Oryctolagus cuniculus: one gene and its partners. The protein of the gene in region 1 purifies or fractionates together with the protein of each later gene. This does not show direct contact. Links are inferred from orthologs where the notes say so. Each region holds a gene or a part of one and is shown in the gene's direction. Other genes may lie near its edges. The genes, in order: OCIAD1, SLC6A8 and MTCH2.

Region 1 (4,046 bases):
TGTTCTTTCGTCTGCTCGGCCCTCCCCGGGTTTGCTGCTGGTTCTTCCCGGGTTGGCTACTATCCCTTCCACCTCCGTGGAAGGGCAGTTCCTCCTGGCCACATTCCCCACTTCCGCAGGGGAGCGGCACACCGCCGGCCGGCTTTCTCGGGGGCTGCACGGGTTCCCTTAGATGTTCCCCATAGATGTTCCTGGTGCATGCCGTCTCTCTCCTCCTTTATAGTCCTCCTCCGCCAATCCCAACTCGGCTGCCCACACGCCGAGTACGCTGCTCTCCTCCAATCAGGAGCAAGTCCTACAGTTTATCAGTTGAACTGGAGGCAGCTGTGCGGAAGCTGTTTACTTCTCTCCCAACGCCACATTGTGGGAGAGCAGATGCATAGAATAAGTCCCAATTCGAGTAACTTAGTCAAGTCCGGATTGCTCCCCACAACTCCGCCTTCCAAATAAATAAATCTTAAAAAAAAAAAAAGACAAAGTAAGGATAGAGGCAAAGGGGCTCACAAAGAGATGACATCTGAGAGGTTTTAGGAGCTGATGAAATTTGAAGACTGGGATTGCTCTCTGTCGAGTCACCAACATCTTTCAGCACCAATAAGTACTCAGTAAGTACTTGCGGAGGGAATGAATGAACGAAAAGGAACGAATGGTTGCTGGGTGTGGCAGCATGGTGTCTGCCAGACAAATCCAAGTCCTGCTCTCAAATATATGCTCGCTAACACAGCGAGCACCTGCGCCTCATTTTAGATGTGTTTTAATCCTAACAACCCTATGAAATGGCTATTATTTCCATTTTTTATTAGAAATTAGCAAAAAAAAAAATCCTAAGAAGCAATATGTTGGAAGGTTCTAGACCTGGTCAGACACTAGACTCCAGAAGGTCTCCCAGCTAAACTACCGCGCATGCTTAAAAGTTGAGTCGTACGATAGAGCCTAGAGGCTAAGCCTCAAAACATTGAAAAACAAGAAAAGCTGGGAACTTGCAACAAGCGGACGAAGGTGCAGGGTTCCAGTCAGGCTGTGTCACAGGAAGATGAGCGAGGTGCGTCACAACAGCCTCAGCCTCGCTTCCACTCGCCTTCAGGGAGGGGGCGGGGCGGCCTCCTGGCCGGCGGCGGTAGCCGCGCAGCCGCAGTGCAGCTCGTCAGCGCCGCGGCTGGCGTGTGAAGCGAGGACGGACGGGCAGCGGAGGGCGGGGCAGGCAGACGCAGGCGCAGATGGCCACCCGGGCGCCACGCGCCTGTAGATGCTGCAGGGAGGCCTTGACGTGATTTCCTGCCGTGGGCCACTAGTGTTTCCGGGTCGCGGTCATTTTTGAGCCCTTGTCTTGGGGATTCGTGGGCGGCTGCGTCGCTGCCCACCCCTACCCCCGCAGCTCTCCTACTCGCTTTTCGCCCTCCCTACCCCTTTTTGGGTCCTCATCTGCCCCGGTCGCCCGGGCTCGCCTCGCAGTCGCCTGCCGCTGTCGTCGGGAGGTGGGTGAGGTGACGCAGAAAGTGCCATTTGCCCCCCTTCGTCTATGCTCTCCACCTTAGCGCGGCTATCCACTCGTTTGCACCTTCCGCCATTTTCCTCCTGCGGGGTGGACCGATCGCGCTTTGGGTCTCGGGCCTCTGAGTGCTGGTGCCTGGGCGAGCGAGGGGTTGTCCTTGGTGGGGTGTGGGGGAGAGAAGGTGGTGGTGACGTATGTGCGGGGGTGTTGTTCGGGAATGGCTGGTGGGACAGGGGTATAGTGTGGGTGGAGGATGGAGTACGGCGGGAGGCTGGCGAGCGTTCAATTCAGGTTTTTTGTTTATGGAATTAAGAGATTAAAGTGGTACTGTTTTAAGGGGCCTTGTCGGCCTTGACAATGTCCTTTTAGGGTTTCTAGAAGATACCGTTGTGGGAAGTGAGAAGGTTGCATTATTTCCTAGGAGGTTAAGGTGTAAGTAGTTTGTTCAACAGGCTCCAGCCATGCACGAATTCATCCTGTTTTTATTTCTATTCTCTGTCTAAGGGGTTGTATAGTAGGCCCTCAGTGATGGTTTATGAAAAGGTCCAATTGCCAGACTTCTTCGTGTATGCCATTTCCTGTTTTTATGCAAATTGCCTTTAAAGTGAGAATAATCCGAAGCTTATGTTAGTTAACATTATATACACTAGTTACCTGGTCTGTTGGTCTGTTAAGCGCTGAGGGATGGGTTAAGAAAAACAGTAAGAATTGAGAAATAAAAATGTGTATTTTTGTAATGTACATTTCTTTCTCATATTCTATGTCATTTGAAGATTATCTGGGTGAGGGAGGAAAGTTTGAGGAATTTGCTGTTATCAGCAAAGGAGAAGGTTATGACGTCTTTGTTATTCCGTTTTTTTTTTGAGTACTGCTTTGCGTGTGTCCAGATTGATGATTTCATTTTTTAAAATTGAAACCCAGGAATGATTTGAGGTTTTTAAGTCTTCTACTTTGGAGAACTATTTTAATCATTGTGTATCGACTTCTGAAAGGTTAAAAAGCTTCAGTAAGGGAAAATTTTTCAGTTGTTGAGGTGGTGTTTTGTATCATTATATTAAGCAGATGACAGATACTTAAAAAAGGCGAAAGATTTATTCATTCTGAAGAGAAACCAAAATAGATGACAAATACTTATAAAGCACCTCTTTTCAATTCAGGAACCTAACATTAATAATTAGTCCCAAATTTTTAGTAAGAATGTAACTTTTTCATGTAGCTGTTTTATTATATCAAGTTACTGTACTTAATGTTTGGTGTTTAGTAAATATTTGTTGGTTGCTTCTAATTTGTTGATAGTTTCTAATGCTTAATATAAATGTTTTTGATACAGGGAAGATGAACGGGAGGGCTGATTTTCGAGAGCCGAATGCAGAAGTTCCAAGACCAATTCCCCGTAACTATCTATTAAGTATTTATAAATAGAAGCACTTTCTATGTAAAGAAAATGCCACTTGAATAACAGTAGCAGCTGTGCTGGTCTTCATAGGTGTTTGATCTGTGCATTCACACAGGACCCCACACTTGGTTTAATGTTCTACAGTTGCCATCTGATACTTTTTTTTTTTTTTAAGATTTATTTATTTATTTATTTGAGAGGTAAAGTTACAAACAGAGAGAGGGAGAGACAGAGAGAAAGGTCTTCCATCTGCTGGTTCGCTCCCCAAGTGGCTGCAATGGCTGAAGCTGTGCCAATCTGGCACCAGGAGCTTCCCCCAGCTCTCCTGCAAGGGTTCGGGGCCAACTTCTGTTGCTTTCCCAGGCCATGGCAGAAAGTTGGATCTAAAGAGGAGCAGCCAGGACATGAACTGGCGCCACCATCTTCATATTCTTAGTAATCTGAGCAAGGGGTCTCACCTTTCCATTTTGTACTGAGTCTAGCATATTTTCTTCTTTTTCTTTCTTTCTTTTTTTTTTTTTTTTTTTTTTTTTTTTGAAACAGTTACACAGAGAGAGGAGAGGCAGAGAGAGACACAGAGAGGTCTTCCATCTGATGGTTCACTCTCCAATTGGCCGCAACGGCCGGAACTGCGCTGATTAGGAGCCAGGAGCTTCTTCTGGGTCTCCCACTCGGGTGCAGGGGCCCAGGGATCCGGGCCTTCTTATGCTGCTTTCCCAGGACACAGCAGAGAGCTGGATTGGAAGTGGAGCAGCCAGGTCTTGAATCGGCACCCATATGGGCTGCAGGTGCTGCAGGCCAGGGCGTTAACCCGCTGTGCCACAGTGCCTGGTGCTAGCAAATTTTCTAGTAAGAGTTTTCTAGCCCAGAGTAGGATTAAATTCTGTTTGAAGTCCAATTTTGTGAAAAGTTTTCAAGCAACTGTTTCACTACTTCATTAAGAAAAAATACTGGTGTATTTTGTTAATATTTAGATAAAACTGAGTTGTTTTATGGGTATTTAAATATTTTCCAATTTGCTTTGGTAAAAGACATAGGGGCTGATTACATTCCAACAGAAGAAGAAAGAAGAGTCTTCGCAGAATGCAATGATGAAAGCTTCTGGTTCAGATGTGAGTTTAATTTTCTAATCAATATAATTTGGTACAAAATTAGTAC
Region 2 (4,065 bases), on another chromosome or scaffold:
GCCCCAGGCTGGGCCAGGAAGATCCAAGTTAGGGGGCTTTCACAAACAGTGCAGCCCAGCTGCTTCCAGGGTCCCCCCCCAGCCCCACCCCCTGTGAACACAGGTGACACCCCTGTCTCTCTTCCCATGAAACACACACCCCTAGGGGCTCCTCCTGGAAGCTTGGGTGGAGATGCTGCCCCTCCCTCACCTAGCAGGTTCAATCTGGCTCGCGCCGGAACTGCTTTTCTTCCTAAAGCTGGCCGGATGGCTGCGGGCTTAGCTTAACGGGATGAACCATCTGGGGAGTGCCGTGTGTGTAATTAGATCAGGGAGTGTGGGACCAAGGGGGGCACGCTTTACCCGCCCCCCTCCAGCCAGGACCATGACCATGACCCCTTCCAGCCACCTTGCTCTGACGAGGGACGCCTGGAGGGCCGTCCCCGGGGAGAGGAGCGCCAGGAGAGGGGAGCTGGCTTGCAGACCTTCCGAGGAGGGTCTGTGCACCTGCCAGGCACCAGGGGGCAGCCTTACCCTATTCCAGCAAGTCAGCCGCCCCTGCTGGACCCCTTACTAAGCCAAGGGAGCTAAAGAGGCTCCCTTTCTGTACCTGTCTAGCCTCCCTCCTCAGCAAGGCAGGATCCCCTTGACCGTGACCTCCTGCGTTTCAAGGCTGTACCTCTTGGGAAGGGCGGAGTGCCAGGGGGGCGGGAGGGTTGCGCCTGTGCAAAGCCCCACAGCACAGCTGGAGGTAGATACGCGGCAACCTTTGCTCCCCTCACTAGAAACAGACCCAGCCCTGCAAGGAGGCCGGGAAGCCTGCTGCCTTTGGTACCCAGCACCCGCCCAGCCTGGAGATGGGACAGGCTGGACAGATCTGGGTGGCTCCAGCCTGGAGGGAGAGGGGAGAAGAGAAGAGGGAGGGCACAGGATGGCTGGAAGGAGGCCAGGGAAGACGCTTTCTTTAAGCTGGGAAGGGCAGGTCGAGGGAAGGCAGATCTGGAGTCAGCGAGGCCAGGTGAAGCCGGGGCGAGGTCCTGGCCCCTTGGGGAGGAAGTGCTGGCCGGCGCCCCAGGTAGCAGCCATCCTGCTCCCCGCTGGAGCGGCGTCTCCTCCTCGGGAGGAGGGCGGGAGGAGGTGGGCGGAGTGACGGGGAGGGCGGGAGGGAGGGATGGGAGAGGGGGAGGGGGAGCAGCCCGGTCGTGGGGGTGGGGCGACAGTGACATCACCCCGGAGTCGGTTCTTAAGCAGCGGCCGATGCGGCCGGGGAAGAGAGGGACAGTCGGAGTGCGGTGGCGAGTCGCTGAGCCCGCCGCGGCCCCGAGAGCGGCTGGAGCCGCCGCCGCGGGGAAGGAGGGGGCGAGGCGCGCCCGGGCCGCCGTCGCCGCCGCCGCCGCCGCCGCCGCCGCCGAAGCCGCGGGCGAACAGGGGAGCCGCCGAGGGCTCGGGCCGAGGCTGGGGGCGCGGGCTGCAGGACCCTGCTCCGGTAGCCACTTGCAGACAGTGGGCGCCTGATGCCGCCCGCGCTCCGCTAGGCTGAGCCTCGGGCCGGGCGAGCCGCCGCCGCCGCCGCCGCCGCCACCGCCCGAGCCGCGGGCAGAAGCCTCGGGAGCCGCCGCCGTTCGGCCGGGCCCCGCCGCCGCCCGCGCGCCCCCGGGCCCCCGACACACATGAGATTCTTCAGGCTCACTTTCAAGTGCTTCGTGGACTGCTTCTGATTGCGCAGCCCCCGCCGTCCCGCACCCCGTCCGCCCGCCCGCCCGCTCGCCACCCCGTCCCCCCCGGCCCGGCCGCCCCCGAGGCCCCCGGGCGGGCCCGCGCCTTCGGGGCCCTCCCCCCCACCCCCGGGTGCCTCCGGCGCCCCCTGCCCGCCCGCCCCCGCGAGGCGCCGCGACCCCCGGCCCAGCCGTGCGGCCCGCCGGGGCCATGGCGAAGAAGAGCGCCGAGAACGGCATCTACAGCGTGTCCGGCGACGAGAAGAAGGGCCCCCTCATCGCGCCCGGGCCCGACGGGGCCCCGGCCAAGGGCGATGGCCCCGCAGGCCTGGGGGCGCCCGGCGGCTGCCTGGCCGTGCCGCCGCGCGAGACCTGGACGCGCCAGATGGACTTCATCATGTCGTGCGTGGGCTTCGCCGTGGGCTTGGGCAACGTGTGGCGCTTCCCCTACCTGTGCTACAAGAACGGCGGAGGTGAGCGCCCCCGCCCCTGTCGCGGCCCCGATCTTCGCCAGGGGTTCCCTCCCCCTGCCTGCCTGCCTGCCTGCCTGCCTACCTCTGGCCCACCAGAGCAGAGGGGCGAAGTCCAAAAGCTGGGGAGGTCCCGCAGGGTGCGTGGGGACTGAGGCCCGGGGCCCGCCCCTCGCCGGCCTGGGCCACTTGGTGGCCCAGTCCGGCGGCCTCCACCCCCCTCACCAGTCATGTGCCTGGCAGTGGGGGGGGGGGCGGGGCGAAGATGAACCTCCTGCAGAACCGAGGGGCTGCCCCGAGACTCCTGGCCCAAGCCTGGAGTGAGTAGCCACCGAGATGGGAAAAGAAGGCCAGAGCGACCTTCTGGGGAGGGGGCTCCAAGAGGTGAGGAGCCCTGGCTGGCACCCCCGCACCAGGCACAGCACACAAGTGGTACATAGGCGCACGCACACACATACACACACAATGGGCCACTGTCCCTCCCCCACGCCCTGCCCTCCCCTCCCCTCCCTCTCCCTCCTCTCCTCTCCCCTCCCTTCCCTACTTTCCCTCCCCTCCCTTCTGGCCTGGGCCTGGAACACTGGGTGCCTGCGCCAGGCTTGGGAAGCCTGCAGCCTGGCCCGCCTGGCGCCGCCACTGGACACACTGCGTGCACGCCCCATGCCCGCCAAAGCCCAGCTTAGCAACAGTGATGGGCACGCGTGTGTCCTGTGACTGCAAAGCGGCACTGCTGCTGGGAAGCCCAAGTGACCAGGCGATGGGTGGGAAACTGAGGAGCCACTGGAAAGCCTTGGCCCAAGGTCACGCACAAGAAGGATGCTGGGCCCAGAAGCTGGGCAAGCAATGGAGAGAGCTGGGCCAGGGGCAAGAGTGCAGGCGGCGAGCGCAGTAGACAGGAGCTGCTGGTGCCTGGTTCTCCCCTCCCTTCCCCCACCCCCCTACCCCGGCTCCGGCCTGTTGGCCAAAGCCTGTCTCTAGCCTGGTCCACTAGAGCTTGCTATGCCTGGCTTGGTCCCTTCCTCCCACCTGTCTCCCCGTGTCCTTGCAGTGACACCCCCCCCCCCCCGCCGTGCAGAGGACTGCCAGCTGCCCCCCTCTTCCTTGTACCCTCACAAGTCAGACTCGCTGCCTTTAGACCAGGCCCGCACCCTAGATCACTCAGCCTCGGTGCGCGGGCACACACACCATGCGCAGCCCTGGCCATTCCTCGCTGGCGCACAGACGTGCGCGTCAGTGCATGCGTCCTCAGGGCTCTTGGGGTCATCCCAGGTGATGGTGGTGGGAGCCCAGAGGGCCTAGGACCCTCCCCACACACCGCCCAGGGAACATGGCTCTAATGGCCTGGGGGCTACCATGGCCCCTCCTGTCCAGAGGCCCAGAACCCACCCCCCAAGACTCTTCACCTTGGTCCTCTGAGTCAGCAGCCACCCCCTGCACTGATTCACCCAGTGCTGGGGCTCAGGGCTTCCGGAGCCTGGGCAGCCTGGCTGGGGACAGGAGATGCTTCCGGTCCTGTCCTGGTGAAGGGGCCACCTGCCCAAGCGGTCTTCAGGGGGCACTGCGGGAGGTGAAGCTGCCCCACGTGTCCTCCCCCAGGTGTGTTCCTGATCCCGTACGTCCTGATCGCCCTGGTGGGAGGAATCCCCATTTTCTTCTTGGAGATTTCCCTAGGCCAGTTCATGAAGGCTGGCAGCATCAACGTCTGGAACATCTGCCCCCTGTTCAAAGGTGAGCAGCCCTTCAGGGACCCTCCTTTCCCACATGCAGGGAGCTCGCTGCAGCTGGCTCCCAGTCTGCCTGCCCTGAGCCCCGGTCTGGGGGGAGACATGCAGGCCACACTGACCTTGGGAAACATCGGCCGTGACCTCGAGGGCATAGCCAGGCTGGGAACAGGACCCACG
Region 3 (3,591 bases), on another chromosome or scaffold:
GTGGAAAGTCCTGGAGGATGACGGTGTCTGGGAGCCCACCCCATTCAGGCTGTTCTGACTGCGGGGAGGAGGGCTCAGTGTCTCCCACTACAGTATCCACTCATGTTCCCCTCGCAGGAATTTGAGTGTCATTAGATTTCAGAAGTGTGTGTTGATTGTTTCTAGACAACTCGAGAGATGATCGCTCGATCTGCTGCTACCCTCATCACACATCCCTTCCACGGTATGTTCGCGCTTGATCACTGGAACCTGATTTCCTGTCTTTGTGCAACTGGATCTCTCTTAACTGCTTAGATAGGTTGACATGGTAGTTAAGTGAAGTGCCTTCCTTGCCTGCCTGTTATTGTTTACTTGCTTGTTTTGGCTTATACCCAGTTTTTCCAGAGAGTGAAGTGTCTTTAGATGGAAAGCCATTTTTTTTCCAGGGCTATCAAAATGTATCTCCGCTTAATTTTAAAAGTCTCTTCTCTGTGTTCTGCAGTGATCACACTGAGATCTATGGTACAATTCATTGGCAGAGAATCCAAGTACTGGTAAGTGTTTTTGTTTACAAGTGTTCTAGAAGCTTTGTTAACCAAAATGTATACTACCTTGCGTTGTTATGATTCCTTAGAGTTTGACCTGCACATAAACAAGTAAAATATGGGAAAAATAACCTCAGGCAGGGTTTGGAGCCCACCCCAGGTCTCAGGAATAAGTTGGCGAGTCTGATACCAGCTATGCCCTTAGGTAGTTCGGTCCTTCTTCCATCTCCAGATTGATCTGTCTGCAGAGTGAGTGGGCACTAGAAAGTGGACGGGGCGGGGTGGTAAATTTGACCTTGTCAAAAGTGGTAATTATATTTTTTATAGCTCCAAAATAATCTTAATGTGTTTACCTTTCTTTCCTGCGTGCCCAGTGGACTTTATGACTCCATAGTAACCATCTATCGGGAAGAAGGCATCCTGGGATTTTTTGCGTGAGTTGCTGTTGACGTGTGAGTGTGTGATTTGTTGGTGAGCCAGAAGCTTTCTGAAAATATGGACAGTGAATCTTGGTTTAATCCCTGGAGAAAGTGGCCTTCCTGGGTTCACTTCATTTTAAGCTGTATTTAGGTCCCTCTGACTTAAATTCTCTTGTTGTAAAGATCCCAGACTTTTTCTCCTAGATATTTAAGATTTTGAAATGAGGATTTTTAATAAGTTAATGACAAGGTTCTACCCTTTAAAGTAGTTTTCCAGTCATATGTAGTTTATCAAATAAGGAAAATTAAGTTTTGAAAAATGGAGAAATCCTCTTAACATGTATTTTTCTTATTCTAAGAAAATAAGTTTTGCAAGGCTTGAATTTACTTTGGCAAAACTTAGACTATACTCCTTTTTCTGTTAAGAAAAACTCTGCATTATTAGCCAGTTTTCAGAATATTTGCACACACTTTGAGTATCACAAATGCTTTGGGAGGTCGGCAGCACAGCTACCCTAGTCATATCATAGAAATTAAAAGAACTCTATGCCCAGGCCCATTTGTTTGCTACCTGTCACATGGCTGGTAGGTGACAGAGGACATTAGAACCGTGGTCTTTTGTCTGTGGGTCATGTTCTTCCCACTGTTCTAGGCTGTCTCACCTAGTCTCTTGGACCCTGGAAACATTTTTTTTTGATGTCTCTCATTTGTTATCTTTGGATTGTTCTCTCTTTGTAATTTGAATGTCAAATGGTGGGGTAAAACCATATTTAAGTTTCTTCTCCAAAGTGCCTTGTAAATATTTGGCCTCCCTGCTTAGAGTCACTAATATGAAGGTGAGCCAGTGGCCTCAGTTCAGAGAGCTACAGCTGACCTGTGTTTTAAAAATGGGAACGGAAGTCATTAGAGACCAGCCTCAAGGACACCTAGAAATAAGGGTGGAGTCTGGTGTTTAATGCCTTTTCAGCTGCCTAGAGTTTTGAAATTTCTTAATTCTTTGAGAGTTGGCATTGAGTGCATACCTTTTTACTGATCATATTTCGGGGTTCTTATTTTTCTTCATGTAGGGGTCTTATTCCTCGCCTCCTGGGTGACATAATTTCTTTGTGGCTCTGTAACTCGCTGGCGTACCTTGTCAATACCTATGCACTGGACAGTGGGGTAGGTTGTGACCTGGGTGAGATGTTCTGGTGTGGGCTGTTCTGTATTCACTTGGCTGCACAGTTAGCTTTAAAGGAATAATGTACACAGTTTACTGTAGAGAGGTGGACCTAGAGTTCTAGTCCTGCCCCTGTGCCTGTGCAGGATTCACGGAGACCATTTCAAAGGCAGAACTGCAGAAAGAGAAGAGACAGCAAAGATCTTCCCTCCACGATTCATTCCCCAAATGTCCACAGAACAGCTAGGGCAAGGCCAGTGCAAGCTGGGAGCCTGGAACTCGGGCCGTCATCCACTGCTTTCCCAAGTGCCTTAGCAAGGAGCTGGATCAGGAGTCGAGCAATTGGCACTCCAGTGTGGGATGCTGGTGTTACAGAGAGCGGCTTAACCTGCTATGCCATAGTGCTGGCCCCTTTTTCTTCTTTTCTTGTTTTGTTTTCTTTTTGTTCTTGTTGAGATTACTACGTTTTGTTTGTTTGGGTTTTTTTGTTTTTTTGGCCTCATCTGAAGTATTAGCTTTTGAATTGAGCTTTCCAGAAGCCTCAGCCTGCGAGGTGTTGAGAATCAGCATTTCCTGGCCATTGTCTCCCTGTCCTAGCAGTTACAGGGACTCTGTCTACAGGCAGCACCCTGGCTTGGTGGAACACAAAGCACACCAAGGGGCACCTGCACACACATAACTGGTGTCACTTCTCGAGCGGAGAGGGCTTCTCCAGGTGGCCCTCGCTTGTCTGTGGTCTTCCTTTCTGTGGCCTCACTGTCAGCTTGTATCCAAGAGAAAATTCCCATTCCGAGAGACCACATTCATGTAACTTTTATTACAGTATGTTTTTGTAATTGTTCTATTTTATTATTGTCCTCAGTCTTATACTGTGCCTAATTTAACTTTATCATAAGTATGTTTGTACTGCTATAGGAAAAAACAGTATATGAGGGTACTTTAGAAACTTAGTGGGACATATAATTAAAAGATGGATTTATTTGGGTTTACCGGCTTTTGAAATCCATGCCTAGTTTTTTCATAATACACATTTTCCATGAACTTTTTTGTTTTAATAAAGTACTTTTTAAATTAAGATTTATTTATTTGAAAGAGTTACAGAGAAAGAGGGAGAGACAGAGGTCTTGCATCCACCGGTTCAGTCCCCAGGTGGCTGCAATGGCCAGGACTGGGCTTGGCAGAAGCCAGGAACCAGGACTTTTTTTCAGGTCTCCCACATGGGTTCAGGGACCCAAGGACTTGGGCCATCCTCCACTGGTTTCCCAGGCACATTAGCAGGGAGCTGGATTGGAAGTGGAGCAGCCAGGACTCAAACTGATGCCCATATGGGATGCCAGCAATGCAGGCAATAGCCTAACCTGCTATGCCACAACCGTGGCCCTTTTCCTAAACTTTCTTATTATAATATGAATTTATCTGTTAATGGAAATCAACTTGATCATTTTCACCACTGCTTTTTTTTTTTTAAGATTTATTTGAGAGGCAGAGA

The links.
Region 2: the proteins of OCIAD1 (region 1) and SLC6A8 purify together in Homo sapiens (co-immunoprecipitation; 3 studies listed by BioGRID and IntAct, with this or other methods). This does not show direct contact. The link is inferred for Oryctolagus cuniculus from reciprocal best matches to the Homo sapiens genes OCIAD1 and SLC6A8.
Region 3: the proteins of OCIAD1 (region 1) and MTCH2 purify together in Homo sapiens (affinity purification with mass spectrometry; 3 studies listed by BioGRID and IntAct, with this or other methods). This does not show direct contact. The link is inferred for Oryctolagus cuniculus from reciprocal best matches to the Homo sapiens genes OCIAD1 and MTCH2.

The regions. Positions count from the first base shown.
Region 1 is NC_091433.1:41,993,101-41,997,146, forward strand, and holds the start of OCIAD1 (OCIA domain-containing protein 1), read left to right. Parts: upstream 1-1,195; 5' UTR 1,196-1,475; exon of another isoform or gene 1,476-1,684; intron 1,685-2,822; 5' UTR 2,823-2,827; coding exon 2,828-2,885; intron 2,886-3,919; coding exon 3,920-4,000; intron 4,001-4,046. UniProt on the Homo sapiens protein: Maintains stem cell potency. Increases STAT3 phosphorylation and controls ERK phosphorylation. May act as a scaffold, increasing STAT3 recruitment onto endosomes. Involved in integrin-mediated cancer cell adhesion and colony formation in ovarian cancer.
Region 2 is NC_091453.1:132,041,197-132,045,261, forward strand, and holds the start of SLC6A8 (sodium- and chloride-dependent creatine transporter 1), read left to right. Parts: upstream 1-1,245; 5' UTR 1,246-1,905; coding exon 1,906-2,167; intron 2,168-2,249; exon of another isoform or gene 2,250-2,293; intron 2,294-3,760; coding exon 3,761-3,892; intron 3,893-4,065. UniProt on the Homo sapiens protein: Creatine:sodium symporter which mediates the uptake of creatine. Plays an important role in supplying creatine to the brain via the blood-brain barrier.
Region 3 is NC_091432.1:18,373,083-18,376,673, forward strand, and holds part of MTCH2 (mitochondrial carrier homolog 2), read left to right. Parts: intron 1-165; coding exon 166-223; intron 224-481; coding exon 482-533; intron 534-898; coding exon 899-958; intron 959-2,010; coding exon 2,011-2,104; intron 2,105-3,591. UniProt on the Homo sapiens protein: Protein insertase that mediates insertion of transmembrane proteins into the mitochondrial outer membrane. Catalyzes insertion of proteins with alpha-helical transmembrane regions, such as signal-anchored, tail-anchored and multi-pass membrane proteins.